2 linked regions of the Caenorhabditis elegans genome follow. The protein of the gene in region 2 interacts with the protein of the main gene of each other region in a pairwise test. Each region holds a gene or a part of one and is shown on either strand. Other genes may lie near its edges.

The links. The genes of interacting proteins can lie anywhere in the genome.
Region 1: the proteins of ucr-2.1 (region 2) and ZK131.11 interact in a two-hybrid assay, tested with the Caenorhabditis elegans proteins (one large-scale study listed by BioGRID).

Annotation. Positions count from the first base shown.
Region 1 is NC_003280.10:13,789,391-13,796,727, forward strand, and holds the start of ZK131.11 (TORC_N domain-containing protein), read left to right. Parts: upstream 1-2,838; 5' UTR 2,839-2,889; coding exon 2,890-2,948; intron 2,949-4,444; coding exon 4,445-4,531; intron 4,532-7,337.
Region 2 is NC_003284.9:12,015,316-12,023,500, forward strand, and holds ucr-2.1 (Peptidase_M16 domain-containing protein), read left to right. Parts: upstream 1-3,113; 5' UTR 3,114-3,123; coding exon 3,124-3,153; intron 3,154-3,219; coding exon 3,220-3,261; intron 3,262-3,385; coding exon 3,386-3,482; intron 3,483-3,549; coding exon 3,550-3,713; intron 3,714-3,974; coding exon 3,975-4,256; intron 4,257-4,671; coding exon 4,672-4,823; intron 4,824-4,890; coding exon 4,891-5,185; intron 5,186-5,321; coding exon 5,322-5,453; intron 5,454-5,663; coding exon 5,664-5,744; 3' UTR 5,745-5,891; downstream 5,892-8,185. Other genes in the region: nmat-1 (Nicotinamide-nucleotide adenylyltransferase), read right to left, coding at 330-453, 630-736, 784-861.

The sequences.
Region 1 (7,337 bases), on a different chromosome or scaffold from region 2:
TTTTTGATTTTACAGTTTTTCTGGGAGATAGCTACAATTTAAGGGTGCTGCCAGATTACTGTAGTTTCAGGAACTGGGGTAACTCGGTAGGGGTATACAGGTAGAACTAGAAATATAGCAGCCGACAAAATCAAGGCTGACACCAAACCCTTTCTGATCGATGCACCATGACATAAGGGGGTTAGCGGTAGGATTCCTGTAGCAGAGAGCTAAAGGAGCACTATTTGGCCAGCAACCGACAAAAACGAGGCTTCACTTTTAGTATCAGGTGTTACTATGTACATCTATCTTCTCCCGCACCCTCCCTCAAAACTGATACCAAACCCATTCTGATCGATGCACCATGTCATTGTGAGATTTGCTCAGGCTTCTGTAGCAGAGCTATAGGAGCAGTATAAAGCCAACAGCCGACAAAAACCAGGCTTAACTTCCAGTATCAGGTGCTACTCTCAAAAAACCCCCCTGCACAATAAATCACTGGAACCCCATTGACAAAAAGAAACACTTCTGCTGGCTCCCCTCCCCCGGTGTAATGGCAGGATTGACACCTGCGCGATGGGGTGGTGGTGGTGGTGGACAACATCAAAAATCTTCTTCTTCTTCCTCCTCTCCTATCATCAAGCTTTTGCTTTTTCTTGCTCTCACATCTTGATTGGATTACACACACGTACACATTGAAATCCTTGTACCCCCTCTTTTCAATTTTCTTTTTCATGTTCTCAATTTCAATATTTTTACTTATTTTTCACACCCTACAATCTACAAAGTTGTTCCCAAATTAGCTGCGATTTGAGCCATTGTACTAGGACGTAAACGGATGATCCAATTTTGAGTTGAGCTTTTACTATTGTCCAAAAGGAGTACACTCTCCGAAATCTTTTGATCTTTTTCCCCTTCTCGAGAAATTTGATCCAACCTTGCACATGCAGATGCTCAATGACCTTATCATCTGTTTCTTCCCTTTTATTCCCCGCCCGCCGGTTTTACGAGGTTCACCCCTTGCCTCCCCAAGCAAAACTGATGTATCTCAGCGGACACGCACTTGAGCAGAAATTTGTTAAATAGTAAATTGTAGGAAAATGTTTGGGCTACAAATTGTTAGTTGATAAATTTTTTATATCGTCAAAACCAGTAGAGTTATGACGGTTTTACGGCAAAAATTTGAGATTTTAGGTGAAACAATTGAAACATTTATATCTCTTTAGTTTTGAAAATTATGAAAAACTTGTTAACTGGCAAATTGAAACCAATTTTCCAATTTTTTAGGCAATATTTTGCTAGTTGGCAATTTTTTGATAGCTCCCATGGTTACTGAGAAATAGGTGGTTCAAATTATGGATATCCCTGTACCCGTGAGATGTCGGCCGCAGCGTGGAAAACACGATTTGCAGCGGACACTTTACTGGCTTTTACAAAAACTCCGCTACCGCCCGCCACCGCCTGCTGATGCCCGCTACCGGCCTGCTACAGCACCGCTACCGCCCTGCTACAGCACCGCTACCGCCCGCTACCGCCCGCTACCGCCCGCTACCGCCCGCTACCGCCCGCTACCGCCCGCTACCGCCCGCTACCGCCCGCTACCGCCCGCTACCGCCCGCTACCGCCCGCTACCGCCCGCTACCGCCCGCTACCGCCCGCTACCGCCCGCTACCGCCCGCTACCGCCCGCTACCGCCCGCTACCTCCCGCTACCGCCCGTGAGGTGTCGGCTGCTTTATTAACTTTTTCATTTTCATATGCGTCTTGTTCTATCAAGCTTTGTCGCATAAATTCCGCTCAAATTTCCTGAGGGTACATCTTTTATCGCCGACCCGCACCACGACCGCCATGTGCCATTTGTCTCGATAGTTTTATGAGAAGAACAAGCACTTTCCATGTTGACATATGTCATTTTGCCACCACCACACACACACACATATTGATGATGAAGACGAACTATTTGTTCGTTTTCCGATATCATTTACTGCTTCCGCCGCCGTGTTCCTAGTTTTCGGGAATTTTTTACTAAATTTGACATACAAAACTGCTCCCTTTTTGAAAAACTCGGCCACACCATCACTATATAGTCTCAGCTCATCACAGATTGGCGAGATTCGAATTTCGCGCGCTTCTCACATTACCAGGGCTTTCGAGTGGGGTGGGTGATATTTGAAAGAGATGACCACCGCCACTATTATAGTTAGATTTTGAGATGAGGAGTACTAAAATGCATGCAATTTTGGACTCATATGTATTTTGTATTTGTGATTGAAAAAATTGTATATCTAAAAAATGACCCGAGTTATGATTCTTCCCGCAAGTTTACTTTTTTTTTGAAAAATTTATTTTTCCCTCACTTTCTTCGCCTTTTTCTCATTGTTAAGTCGATTTTTATTGTTTAAAATTTATATAAAAATATAGATAAACCAGTCGTTTGAATTTTCCGCCAAAATTGGTTTTATCAGAAAATTAAAATTCCCGCCAAAAATTTTTCTCAGAAAATTTAAACTCCAGCCGATATTTTTCTATATTTCTATTTAAAAAAAAGCCAGAAAAAATTAGCAAGCTTATTAGAATAATAGGATTTTTGAAATTTTCCTACCCCGACTCTATTTGAAATGGTGGCCGAGTTTTGGTTTTTTCGGCCACCACCCAAAAATTCTGGTATAGTACTACTACTACTACATAATATTGTGACCTCTTTCAGCTTCTTCATACATACACTTTCTCTCGCCCCATTCTTCTTATTCTCATATATTTACGTTCCATTCTATTCATTCACTCTCTCGTTTTACCCTATTCACCTTTTCTCCCAATACGCTTCGTTTTTTTTAAAATTTTCTGCAATGATGATTTTCAGAATTATTTGAACTATTGACGTCTACAAACACACGCCTGGGACTCACACAAAATGCCTGACGCCTATATGATGGGCTCGACGGCAACGCTCAATGCTCGTCGGCAGTACAGGTGAGAATTGGGCAAAATTTAAATATTTTTAAAAATTTATAAAAATTAGCTCAATTTTACCGGCTGATATCTCGGTTGTTCCAAATTTTCACAAAAAATTGTCAACTAAAAATGTTGCCCAAAAATTTCTGAAAAATACGTCAGTTGGCAGCTTTTTAATATTCCTAACCATTTTGGAAATTTGCTGGTTTGAAATTGGGTAGTTTTTTTTCAGGTAGAAAATATGTTCGATTAGCCTAACTTTGCCGGTTCATATCTCGGTTGGTTTTGGTTTTATCAAAAAATTGTCAACTAAGAAAAGATTTATTTAACAATTGTCTATATTTTTGTAATTAAAAGTTTATTGATATTTTCAAAATGAGCTGAGATATTAGTAGTATAAGTAGTAATGGTGCTCAAATCGGGCAAAATCAACAATATTTCGAAAAATCGCACAATTTTTAAATTGAAAAAGATATTATATAGAACTATTACTTGTTTAATGACAATAATATTCTAACTTTAAAATTTTTTGTTACATGCCTACGTGCCTACCTCATGCCTGCCTTTCAGTTGAAGTAATTTTTTGAATGTTCAACACTGAAACAGTGAGAAAAAAGGGACCAGGAAGTAGGGACGAGTGTAGGCCTGCCTATGAGGTATATACTGCCTGTTCATGCCTGCCTGCCTACCACCTAGTTTCTGAACATTCGTAAACTTTCCAATTAAATGTTTTGTTTAAATACCTGTTCAACTAACACTAAATATAATCAGGAATGATTTGTAAGTAGGCAAGAGTGTAGGCAAGGTGTAGGTACAAGCCGCCTTGTAGGTAGGCGTATGTCGCAGGCCTACCTATGCCTTCCTACCTACCGCCTAGTTTTTGCACATTTCTCAACTTTCCAATTAAATATTATTTTTCAAATATCTGTTCAACTAACACTGAATATAATCAGGAATATGTGTAGGCGCAGGCCGCCTTGTAGGTAGGCGTAGGTCACCTTGTAGGCAGGTAGGTAGACAATTTGTAGACATATACCTTCTTATAGACATACAGTTGGAGGCAAACTGCCAATTCAGGTTCTCTCCCGATTTCTCCCAATTTCCATTTAGCCACCCAAATGGCATGACAGTTCTCGAAACTAATTTTCTTTTTTGTTATTATATAAAATGCCTATAATTCTTTCATTTCTCGACGTGAAATCCAACGTTTCAAGTTTTCTTAAAACTGATTTTTTTAAAAATATTTTTTGTTGGAAAAATCAAAATAATAATATTCTAACGTATTTTCCTCATTTCCAACTCTGATACTTTCCGACAAAAACAGTTTTCCGAATCCACGTTGGCATGTTTGGAGTATTTCGCAATCCAATATGTTTTATGAAGGCAAAAGGGTTAGTTTTTTAGGGTTGCGGCATGGGGAAATTTGCAGAAAAACATGTAAAATGTACTATTTTGAAGCCAAAGAAAACATCTTAAAAGTTGAAAAATAGTTCCAAAAAATTTTAAACTTTCAGATCGGTTGCATTTGGCACGTGGAAAGTGGGCGGAGCCAGGAATATGACGGAGCGAAGGTCCGAGGAGCCACTTTCAAGACTGAAATGGTTGGTTTTTGACTTTTTTTTCTTAAATTTTATCGTTTGTATGCTAAAAATGTACTGAGAATTGAAAAATAGGATATCGATTATTTGAAACAAATTTTTTAATTCAAAAAAAAAAAATTCCGAATCGATTTTGATTTATTTCAAAATATTTTAAAATTGTGTTGGAAATTCAAAAACAAGTGGTGGTGCCAGGCTGCCCCCCATTACGGCTTGATCTACAAAAATGCGGGAATTTTTCGCCCAAAAAATGTGACGTCAGCACATTCTTAACCATGCAAAATCAGTTGAGAACTCTTCGCGTCTCTTCTCCCGCTTTTTTTGTAGAAATATGTAGATCAAACCGAAATGAGACACTCGGACACCACGTGAAAAAGTTTAATGTATTTAAAAATTAAAAAAAAAATTCTGTGAAAATTGAAAAACCGGAAAAATTTTTGAAAATAAAAAAAAAAAATTAAAAAAAAATTCCAAAAAAATAAATAATTCCAGAGTATTGTTTTAAAAATTCGTTTAAAAAATCCTAAAAATTTAGAAAGTAATGAAGTTTGAAAAAATGGAATTTTTTGAAATTTCGGTAATTTAAAAATAAATAAGTGTGAAAAAAAATCAATTTTTATAAAATTAAATTTTTTGGCAGTTTCAGCAATTTTTTTGAATGTTCTAAAACATATAAAAATCCTGAAATTGGTGGCCGAATTTTCTCCATCATCGGCCACTCTAAAAAGTTTCAAAAGTTTCGAATTCCCCCCCCCCCCCCCCCACTTCGGAACACGAAGCGCATTTTAATGGTGGCAAATAGGATTAGGTGGATAACAATGGGATTGCCCCCGGTTGCCTGTACAATCCTCTTTTTTTCACGGCAAAAGGTAATCCCAGTATCCCCCGATGACTGGTTTTCTCTGCGTCTCCCCCGTCCACCCTCACACTATCGGGGTCCATCCCGTACTAATTGGCCATTTCCATGCCTATTCTTCTGCTGCTGCTGCTGCAACCTGAATCTACAATTGTGTTTCATTTTTCCAGTAGTCGTACTATGTTATGTGTTCATTTCTTTATATATATATATATATATATATATTGTCTTCTCTGCCCTCTTCGTCTGAAATGAGGTGGAACCGCTCTCAAATAAAGAAGACGGTGATTGAGTGGTGGAATTGACGTGATGAATAAGGAATTTTATGAGATTGGACCTAATTTTGTATGGAATAGGTTAAAGGGACATTAGGGGTTTTGATCTACTTGGGTTGGGGGAAAAAGAGCAATATCCTGTGAACGTCCAGTCCTGCCGGGCTTCGGTTTTTTTTATAGAAAAACCGAAAAACGAAAACTTTTGCTCGAAAAAGTGCAATTTCTGCTGTTTGCCCCCCGAAAATTGAAAAATCGGAAAAAAAACGGCCCGCTACCGCCCCGCTACCGCACCGCTACCGCCCCGCTTTCGCCCCGCTACCGCCCCGCTACCGCACCGCTACCGCACCGGCAGTCTCTAAGTCGCTCATAGACTCTTAGTAACACTCTCAGACCTTTACAGTACCCTCTTTCCCCAAAAGTAAATCAAATTTCCCTCCCAAGCCAATTTCAATCGTCCCCAATCACATTCTGCAAAACGGATGAAGATCTGAATGGACAGTGTCAGATAATCATCGTCGTCATCTCAAGTTAAAAAGTGCGCGCCTCCTCCACCATCACCATTTTGTCCTTGAATTTGAAAATCTAACGGGGATGGTGAAAACGTCTCAAGGTTGTTGGATGTGCAGCTTAATTAGGGGAGCATGAAGGACGTGTGAATGTTGCCAGGCGTGCTCGGTCATGTGGCACTGATTCGGATGATATTTGAATTTTTCAAATCAATACAGTACTACTTTCGAATTCCCCGCCAAATTCTCCCACATAAAAGTTTCATATTTTTGCAATAATGTGTTCAATTGATGGCATATGCACACACAAAGTGAAAAGCACACACACACATATGACAGACCACCTCCCTTTTTAAAAAGTGAAACACTTTCACTCGCCCCGAAGACCGTTCGTTTCCCCCTATCCACCACCCAAACAAAAAGCGAGACAAACAATGAAACTTGAGCCCCCCCTCCTCTCTTGAGCCTCTCGGTTTGGAGCATTTTTATTCGAAATCCTTCTAATCGGCCCCGCATTAGTTCACTAATTGAGCTGACTGGGAAAGGAAATGGATCGTATTTCGGTGTTTTTTTCGGGAAAAATCGAGATTGACTTGGCTTTTTTCTAGGTCAATATATGTTTTCCTATGATTTTTTAAGGCACCGTCCAAAAATGACCTTCTTGACTGGGCCCGTTCAGGCTTATTTTTAGCTACGTTTATATTTGTCCAATTTTAAAAAAATTGTTTCCTTTTTGTAATCAAAATTCTTGATTTTTCTGGAATTTCTTTTTTCTCTCATCCTCTCCTCGCCCAACCTCGGCCTAATCCGAAGCATAAGTCTAAGCCTAAGCCTAAGCTTAGGCCTAAGCCTAAGCCCAAGCCTACGCATAAGCCTAAGCCTAAGCCTGAGCCTAAGCTTAAGCCTAAGCCTAAGCCTAAGCCTAAGACTAAGCCTAAGCCCAAGCCCAAGCCTACGCCTAAGCCTAAGCCTAAACCTGAGCCTAAGCAAAAGCCAAAGCTTAAGCCTAAACCTAAGCCTAAGACTGAGCCTTAGCCTAAGCTTAAGCCTGAGCCTAAGCCTAAGCCTGATCCTAGGCCTAAGCCTAGGCCTAAGCCTAGGCCTAAGCCTAGGCCTAAGACTAAACCTAAACCTAAGCCTAAGCCTATGCCTATGCCTAAGCCTCGTCACCC
Region 2 (8,185 bases):
CGGTGTTTTCCCTATTAGTTTATCCTTAATAAACCGTAATAACCTCAAATCTTCCAACTCTTATTAAATTAAAAAGGAAAGTGAATCATCAAAAGTGGCATTTTATTTAGATATACTCATATGAGTCTATTTTGTTTGGTCGACTAAGAAAAACTGAGTATTTTCCATTTTTAACTGTAAATAAAAACATTCAATCAATTTTTCTAGCAACATAGTAATGGTTTCCAAAATTTGCCCACTCATCTTGAAAAACACTCCTGGGAAATATATTTTTGAAAAAATTTTGAGCGATGTATTTTTCAAAGATTATCGAAAAGAAATAAACTTGCCTTCACATCCTGCTGATGATGTTTCAGAACATTAACAGTTGCAGTCCACTCAGACTGGGCACATTCCCAACCACTTGCATGAATCCAGTCAGAATCATAAGTTGCTGCTTCGGTTTGTGCAAGACTGCAATTATATTTTTGTGTTCAGTTACATAAAATTACATATTATTTTCTGATTTCAAAAAACTGAATTAAATATTATTGCGAACATAGTAACTCAATTAATTTGGAAATATTGTTTTCTGTGTTTTTTTTGTGTATAAACTTTTTTTGAATTGTCGCATTACACAGTTAACCTACCGATGTTTAGCGCTGATCAAACTCTTTTTCGCATAACCATCACTGACTGGGCTCATAATTCCTTCGAGAACTATTTTTCCTGACTTTTCTAGTGAGTACTTGGCATCCTAAATTTGTTTAATTATAACGTTAACTGATGATATACCTAAAATACCTCCATCATGCAAAGATGTCCATTTGTTGGAGGATTGAATGACCCGACTGCCAAAATGACAACTTTTTCGGTCCCCATAGTGGAATTGTTCTGTTTCAAAAAAACATTCTTACATACAGTGCGTCCAACTTCTATAGCACCCCCCTCCAATTCGGCCGTTTGGAGCTTTTCAAAATATTTTTTGGAAAAGTGTTAGTGCAGTTCGATAGCAAATGTTGAAAAACCTATGCTCCCCAATTTTTATCATGATATCTCAAAAATCACGGAAATTAGGTCAAAATATCTGAAAAATGGCCGTCCAACTTCTATAGCACCCCCTCTGATTTTTGACAAATTTCTGTAAATTCGGGGTTTTCTTCGTAGTTAATGAATTTATTTTGTAAATAACTTCACACCAAAATAATCAGGTGGTTTCACTTTCACATTTAAAAAATAAATATAACACTTGAAAACACGTGGAATGCCTGGGATTGTCCTGGAACGTTCTTATTTGCTTCAGAGGCCATATCTCGGCTCCCAATGATTTTCGCAGCACCAAAATTGATCAAAATGTTCTTCTCCGTCTATTCATTACTATGTAATTAGTTGTAGAAAGCATTTATTCATATGAACCAAATGGAAAATGGAGCAACTTCAGTGGTTTTTAAAAGGTTCGATTTAACCATGAAAACGAGCGTTCGGAGGCGCAGAGATAATGGTTGGGAATACATTTTCAACTAAAAATTACTACATTATAGCAAAAATTAAAAATTATTATATATGAACAACAAATCCGTGGAAATCCATGGGTAACTCAGATGCCAGACATCTACAATCGCAGGTTCAATGTTTTGTCTGGTAGCTTTTGCATTACTTGACCAAAAAAAGATTCAATGAGCGAATTCGCTAAATTTAACTTGAGTTATAAATACAACTAGCAAAATCGTCATTCGGAAAGGTATATCTTACTTTTCTGTCTAAAATTTTCGCATGTTAGCTTGAAAAAAAGACTTGCGGCCTCGCTTTGCCTTTGTCCTCTTTTTTGAGCGGTCTCATGATCTTTTCCGTATAAATTTTCAAAGACTTCTAATTAAAATCGAAGCTTCAAAGACATTTGAGCAGGATGAGCTGAAGTTCTGTACAATACGAAGTCAAAACCTTCAGCTCTGCGCCTCCGAACGCTCGTTGTCATGGTTAAATCGAACCTTTTAAAAACCACTGAAGTTGCTCCTTTTACCATTTGGTTCATATGAATAAATGCTTTCTACAACTAATTACATAGTAATGAATAGACGGAGAAGAACATTTTGATCAATTTTGGTGCTGCGAAAATCATTGGGAGCCGAGATATGGCCTCTGAAGCAAATAAGAACGTTCCAGGACAATCCCAGGCATTCCACGTGTTTTCAAGTGTTATATTTATTTTTTAAATGTGAAAGTGAAACCACCTGATTATTTTGGTGTGAAGTTATTTACAAACTAAATTCATTAACTACGAAGAAAACCCCGAATTTACAGAAATTTGTCAAAAATCAGAGGGGGTGCTATAGAAGTTGGACGGCCATTTTTCAGATATTTTGACCTAATTTCCGTGATTTTTGAGATATCATGATAAAAATTGGGGTGCATAGGTTTTTCAACATTTGCTATCGAACTGCACTAACACTTTTCCGAAAATATTTTGAAAAGCTCCAAACGGCCGAATTGGAGGGGGGTGCTATAGAAGTTGGACGCACTGTAGAAAACATAGTCTCAATCGAACTGAGATTATTGTTTGCTAAAACACAGTGTCTCATATTTATTGATATAAATAGGAAGAAAACAATGTGGAAAATTGTTTAATGAATTGCTAATAAAGTTTAAAAATGATAAACAATTACCTTTCAAGTGCATTACTCAATGCCTCAAAACACTATCGCTTTGAAATAAGTTTCAATTTCGCAATGGTCACACTATGAAACACGCCCGTAATATTTTATATACTCCCTTGCGTCTTTCATTACCCACTGGCAAACGTCACACTCCAAGCAACTACAGAACACTTGGGGGCTAGTCACACTCTCGCTAGGCCGCGGCCGCAGGTCTGCAAGCGCGCTCTATTGACAAAGCATCCCGCTGAGACGCACGTATTTATCGACCGCCCAATTGTTTTCAGCTTATATTAATGCTCACTTTTTATATTTTATCAGAAATGTTGTAAACTTAAATAGAAAAATTAATTATCTTTCTTATGATACCAAAACCATTAATATTAATTAGTGAAAATTCATAAAAACTTGCTGAAAACATTATTTTTGCATATTTTTTTTTAATTTTCGCTTTTTTCCAAGAAAAAAAAATTGCTTTTTCAGGGTTACAATTATGCTGTCGCGCCCATCTGGAACTGTTGCGGTGAGTATTTAATTCGAAAAATGTTTGTGGGAAATTTTCATCGATATAATTGAAAATCGTTTTCAGAAAACTGAATTTCAATTGAGAAGAAATGTTCTGCCTGCCTTGGTGAGAGTTGATAAATGCCTAGATTGCAGTTTTTTCTTACCCAGCTAAAAACTAATTCCGAATTTCTATGAGCAAAAATATGAACTTTTCGATTAAAACAAATCAAAAAAGTAAAAAAATTCAGAAGCGCTTCGTCTCGGCTGCAGCCAAATCTGCTGGAGTTCAAGAGAAGACAACTGTCTTGGAAAATGGTCTCCGCGTATCAAGCGTTGAACTAAACGGTATGTGGGCGTTGGATATAGCAAAGCATAGCAAAAATCAATTAACAAAATCATTTTTTTTGTTTAGGAGCCACTTCTTCAATTGTTTTGGCATTCCGCGCCGGAAGCCGTTACCAACCAGCCAACAAGCAAGGACTTACCCACCTTATCCGTAACAGTGTTGGCCGCGATGCTCCAAACTTCCCAGGGTTGGCGCTTGTCTGGAATACAGCTCAGAATGGAGGAAACTTGGTACGAACTCAAAAGAGCAAGAGAGAAAGTGAATGATAGAAAAGGAGACGCGGGAGTATTTTGAGATAAAAAGAGCTCATTAAATATAATAAAACCACTAAAAGAATGCATTGCGACCTAACTATCTGTGAGGGTATCGTAATGTTTTTCATTTTTAGTTGTACCAGCTGTTTTAATGATGACGAGTTTGTAGTACTACTTACTTTTAGAGTTGGAAATATGTATTAAAGTTACTGATTTAGTAAAAATAAAATATTCCAGACCGCAGTCTCCAACCGTGATGTGCTCGCTATTGAAGTCAACGTCGTTCGTGACCAATCCGCAGTGGTCCTCTCACTTCTCGGACAGCTCGGAAATAATGCTTTCAAGCCATGGGATGTTGAAGATGTTAAGCACGACACTCTTCCAGCTGACGCCACATACCTCACCGGAACCACCATCGCTTTCGAGCAACTTCACCAGGCTGCCTTCAGAAATGGAGGACTCGGACTTTCGAACTACAGCGTCAACAACGTCTCTGCCAAGGACTTGTCTGCTTTTGCTGTGAGTTTTAAATTGAAAACTTGGAGCTTGTGGCAAATTGTGCAATGATTTTTTAAAGTGACTTTAAAGTTGCTCATAGTATTGAAAATGATTAAAAACGGCATGTATTAAAATAATTTCCAATAATTAATTTCTGAAAGAATCTGAAAACGTTTCGAAAATTTGGCGGTGTACAAACTCCTGATGTTGCTCGACTCCAAACCTTTTGTTGCTTAGAAAAATCGTAGGCCGCAGCGGAAAAATTGAAAGGTTACTGACGAATTTCAAAGTTTGAGCTTACACAAGACGGACTTCCGTGTTTTTTCCAGTTGATTGGGCAAACTGCCACTAATAAAAAATTACGTTGGGTATACCTATTCTATTGTTTTTGATATACATATCAAATCAATTTTCAACCCAATATTTTCTTTTTCAGAAGGAACGACTCGTTGCCGGTGAAGCTGTTCTGGTCGGTGTCAACGTCGATCATGACACTCTGGTCCAGGCCGGAAGCACACAATTCCCACTGGCCCAGAACCAGCCCGCCAAGGCTACCCCAGCTAAATATTTTGGAGGAGAAGCCCGCAAGTGAGAATTTTTTTTTGCCTTGCTTACAAACAAACCTTACAAAAGTAAATTATCAAATTTAATTTAGGGATGGTCGTGGAAATCGCTCATACGTTGCCATTGCCGGAGAAGGATCCGCCATCACATCTGTCAAGGATGTTGCTGTCCAAGCCGTAGTCGCCCAGATTCTTCTGAACGCCGCTCAAAAAGTCACATCAGAGGCTATTTCCGTAAATGTCAACTACCAGGATTCCGGACTCGTCGGAGTTCAATTCGCTGCCTGCAACACACAGATTACTCAAGTCACCAAGTCTATTGCCTCTGCCATCAAGTCTGCAAAAGCCGATGGTCTTGACAACGCCAAGAACACGGCGGCCGTTCAAGTAAGAGTCGTTGCTGAGATATTAAACACTGAAAATCGTGATCCGAACTTTCAAATATGGGATATGTTATGACTGAAATATGGAAATATATGATAGAAGTCAGCATAGAAATTTGTATTAATTATTTCTGTTCCAGGTTCTTTCCGACGCTCAACACGCATCTGAAGTCGCATTGGAGAAGGCAACTCAAGTGCTTGCCGGAGTAGAGGTGTCTCCACGCGAATTCGCCGACGCTATCCGCGCAGTCACTGCCCAAGACGTCACCCAGGTTTGTTTCGCACTATCTGCAACTGCAAGCGATTTAGGCTTCAATAAAAAACACTGCTTTCAATTTGCAATTCATCAAACATTTATGAGTGCGTATGTGTATGCATTCAAAGTATCAATTTCACTAATTGAATTCTCCACTCTCGTTTTGAAACACTAAAACTCTAATGCAGCTGGTAGAGTTCAATGAAAAAATGCACATTTTTTGCAGGCCTTGTCCCGTGTCAATGGAAAACTCTCGTTGGCTGCATATGGAAGCACATCACTCGTCCCATATCTCGACGAGCTATAAATTGTTACAAGTTTTTTTAAAGTTAAACAAAACTCATAAGGTCTATGGCAGATCGAATTTTTGAAAATTTAAATTTCCAATTTCTTATTTGTGTAAGTTGTTTGCTGTAGAAGCTGTTCAGATAAAGGTTCTGAATAAAGGAAAAACATTAGCTCTTGTTGTTTTTTTTTGTTCAAAATTACAAGTTAATTACTGTGGTTCTAAGGTTCTTCTATGAGCAGGTTTTCAGAAGATTTCAACATTGTTCAGTTAACTTACAGGTTAGTAAATGCAATGGTCTTTTTACCGAAACGCAACAGTGCTAAAAATTTGTTAGCCATAGCGTATCAAAGTGGAACTAATTTTGTTGTTTGAAAAAGTTGAATACCACCGTGGAGGTGTTTGGATTTTGGTTTTGGTTTTGAACAAAAAGATGAAGCATGAGCAGAAAAACGAAAAATGACGTGGGATTGGTCGGTGAAATTTCGGAAGGGGACCCACACACATATTCTCACACACTCTCTTCACATGATGTACCTATTGTTGGAAAGAGGCTGCAAAGTAGCAAAAAGCAATGCACAGAGAGAGAGAAAGAGTCAAAATTATTCAAAACCAAATTTGTCTGCATCTGGCGACCCCCTACCCTTCTTCAACCTTTCCCCCTTCTTTTTTCCTTTCTTCCCCTTTTTTCTCTTTTGAAATCATCAGGGTCCCACTTTTCTCTATTTTCTTATTTTTTTGTGTGTATGCTTTTTATACTTCATCAAGAAAAACTTTTTTTTTCACTTTTCCTTCGCCACTCAAAATTTATTATTACTTTTTTTGAGTCTAGTCGTAACACGTTCTCTGGGATTTGTCCTCAAATTCTATGGACTGGAAATTGAATTTTTCCGGTTGGAACTTTATTTTGACCCGTGATCTTACATTCCAAATACCGAATCGTAAAGCAATTTGTTTTTTGAAAAATAATGTTTTAGCCTCTTTTTTTCCAGTGTGGAAGTTCATCTTGAAATGAAAAATTCTTGACTAGCATTCTACTTTCGAAATCCTTGTAGATATCTTTAATTAAAATTTCATTATTGACAGCCTTCTCAAGATTTTCTTTTTTCCGGACTATAACTCCTAGAATTATCATTTAAAGTAACATAGAAATCTAGGTTTATAGAAATCTAGTCTAGTTTTACCTTTTAGGTTTTGACCTCAAGCTCGATGAGTTGGAAGTTAACTTTTCCGGTTAAAATTTTGAACTGAATTTGATTTTATTACCCAGACATGCCTGACAAGTGACGTTATTAAACATTTTTATGTTTCTTCTCGGTTTTTATAATACCTTATTTTTTATTAGTATTGCCCCCAATTTTTCAAATTTGACATCTTACACCTCATTTGTTGTTTGTTCTATTGAAAACTTGTGAATTATCAAAATATGTGCTAGTTTTTTTTTAACTGTTTGTAGTTTACATGATAACATTAAAGTGAGATATTCACCTCAAAGTAAATCAGTCGGAATTAACACTAATAGAAAAATACCATTTCAGTGTTTAAAGGTTTTAGAAAGGTTTACTAATTGATCATGTTTATCGTTTCAACAATCGCATGTGGTCTGTGATCGATGCCTTCCAACTTCAACATATATCACCTGTAATAATTTCTTGGAAACGTTGAAAGTTACTGGAATGATTGTATGCTTCCAGGTGCTTTTTTTCGATTTTGTGATTTTCACCTGTTCTCATTCAATAATGATTGGAAAACTTTGAATTGCTGTAAAATATTATTTTATTTTGTCTGTTTTATCTAAGAAAATTTATAAGGTAGGAAACTAGGCACCTTTGCACAAAATTTTCTACCAGTTGTATACACTAACAAAGTTTAAAATATTTTAAAATACTCAATTTTTTTTAGATAAGTGTATAAAGATAATATTTTAACAAATCATCACTCTACTTCACGCTAAGCATCACCCACTAACTAAACAACTATAAATAAAAAAAAAAGAAAATAAGATGTTTTGTTTGATGAACCATTTAAAAAGAGAGCAGTAGTCACAAACAAAATTTATACTTTTAAAAAACAGTTTAGCATGAGGGTGCAAAACTATTAGAGACTGCAATACTATTGTTCGATTGGTCCGTAGGGGTGCAAGACTAATAGAGGCTGCAAGACGAATAGAGGAAATACGGTAATTTGTTTTGCTACGCTAAACGTTCATTCGCGCGTACTGTTTTACATGTTTGCACTTTTTCAAAGCCTTGCCCAATAAGCTTCAATTTCCGGATTTTTTTTTATGAATATGTTTCTTGTCCCTCCCAGTGCTACTTCTTGGGATTCGATTCATTCGTCTAATTTTGCTAATTACACTAGTTGGAAAAGACACGTATGCATTGCCAATCAAGATAGAAAAAAAGAATACGAGAAATAGAGGAAGAGCTACTAGATTTCCGCTCTTAATCAAACCAAATTCA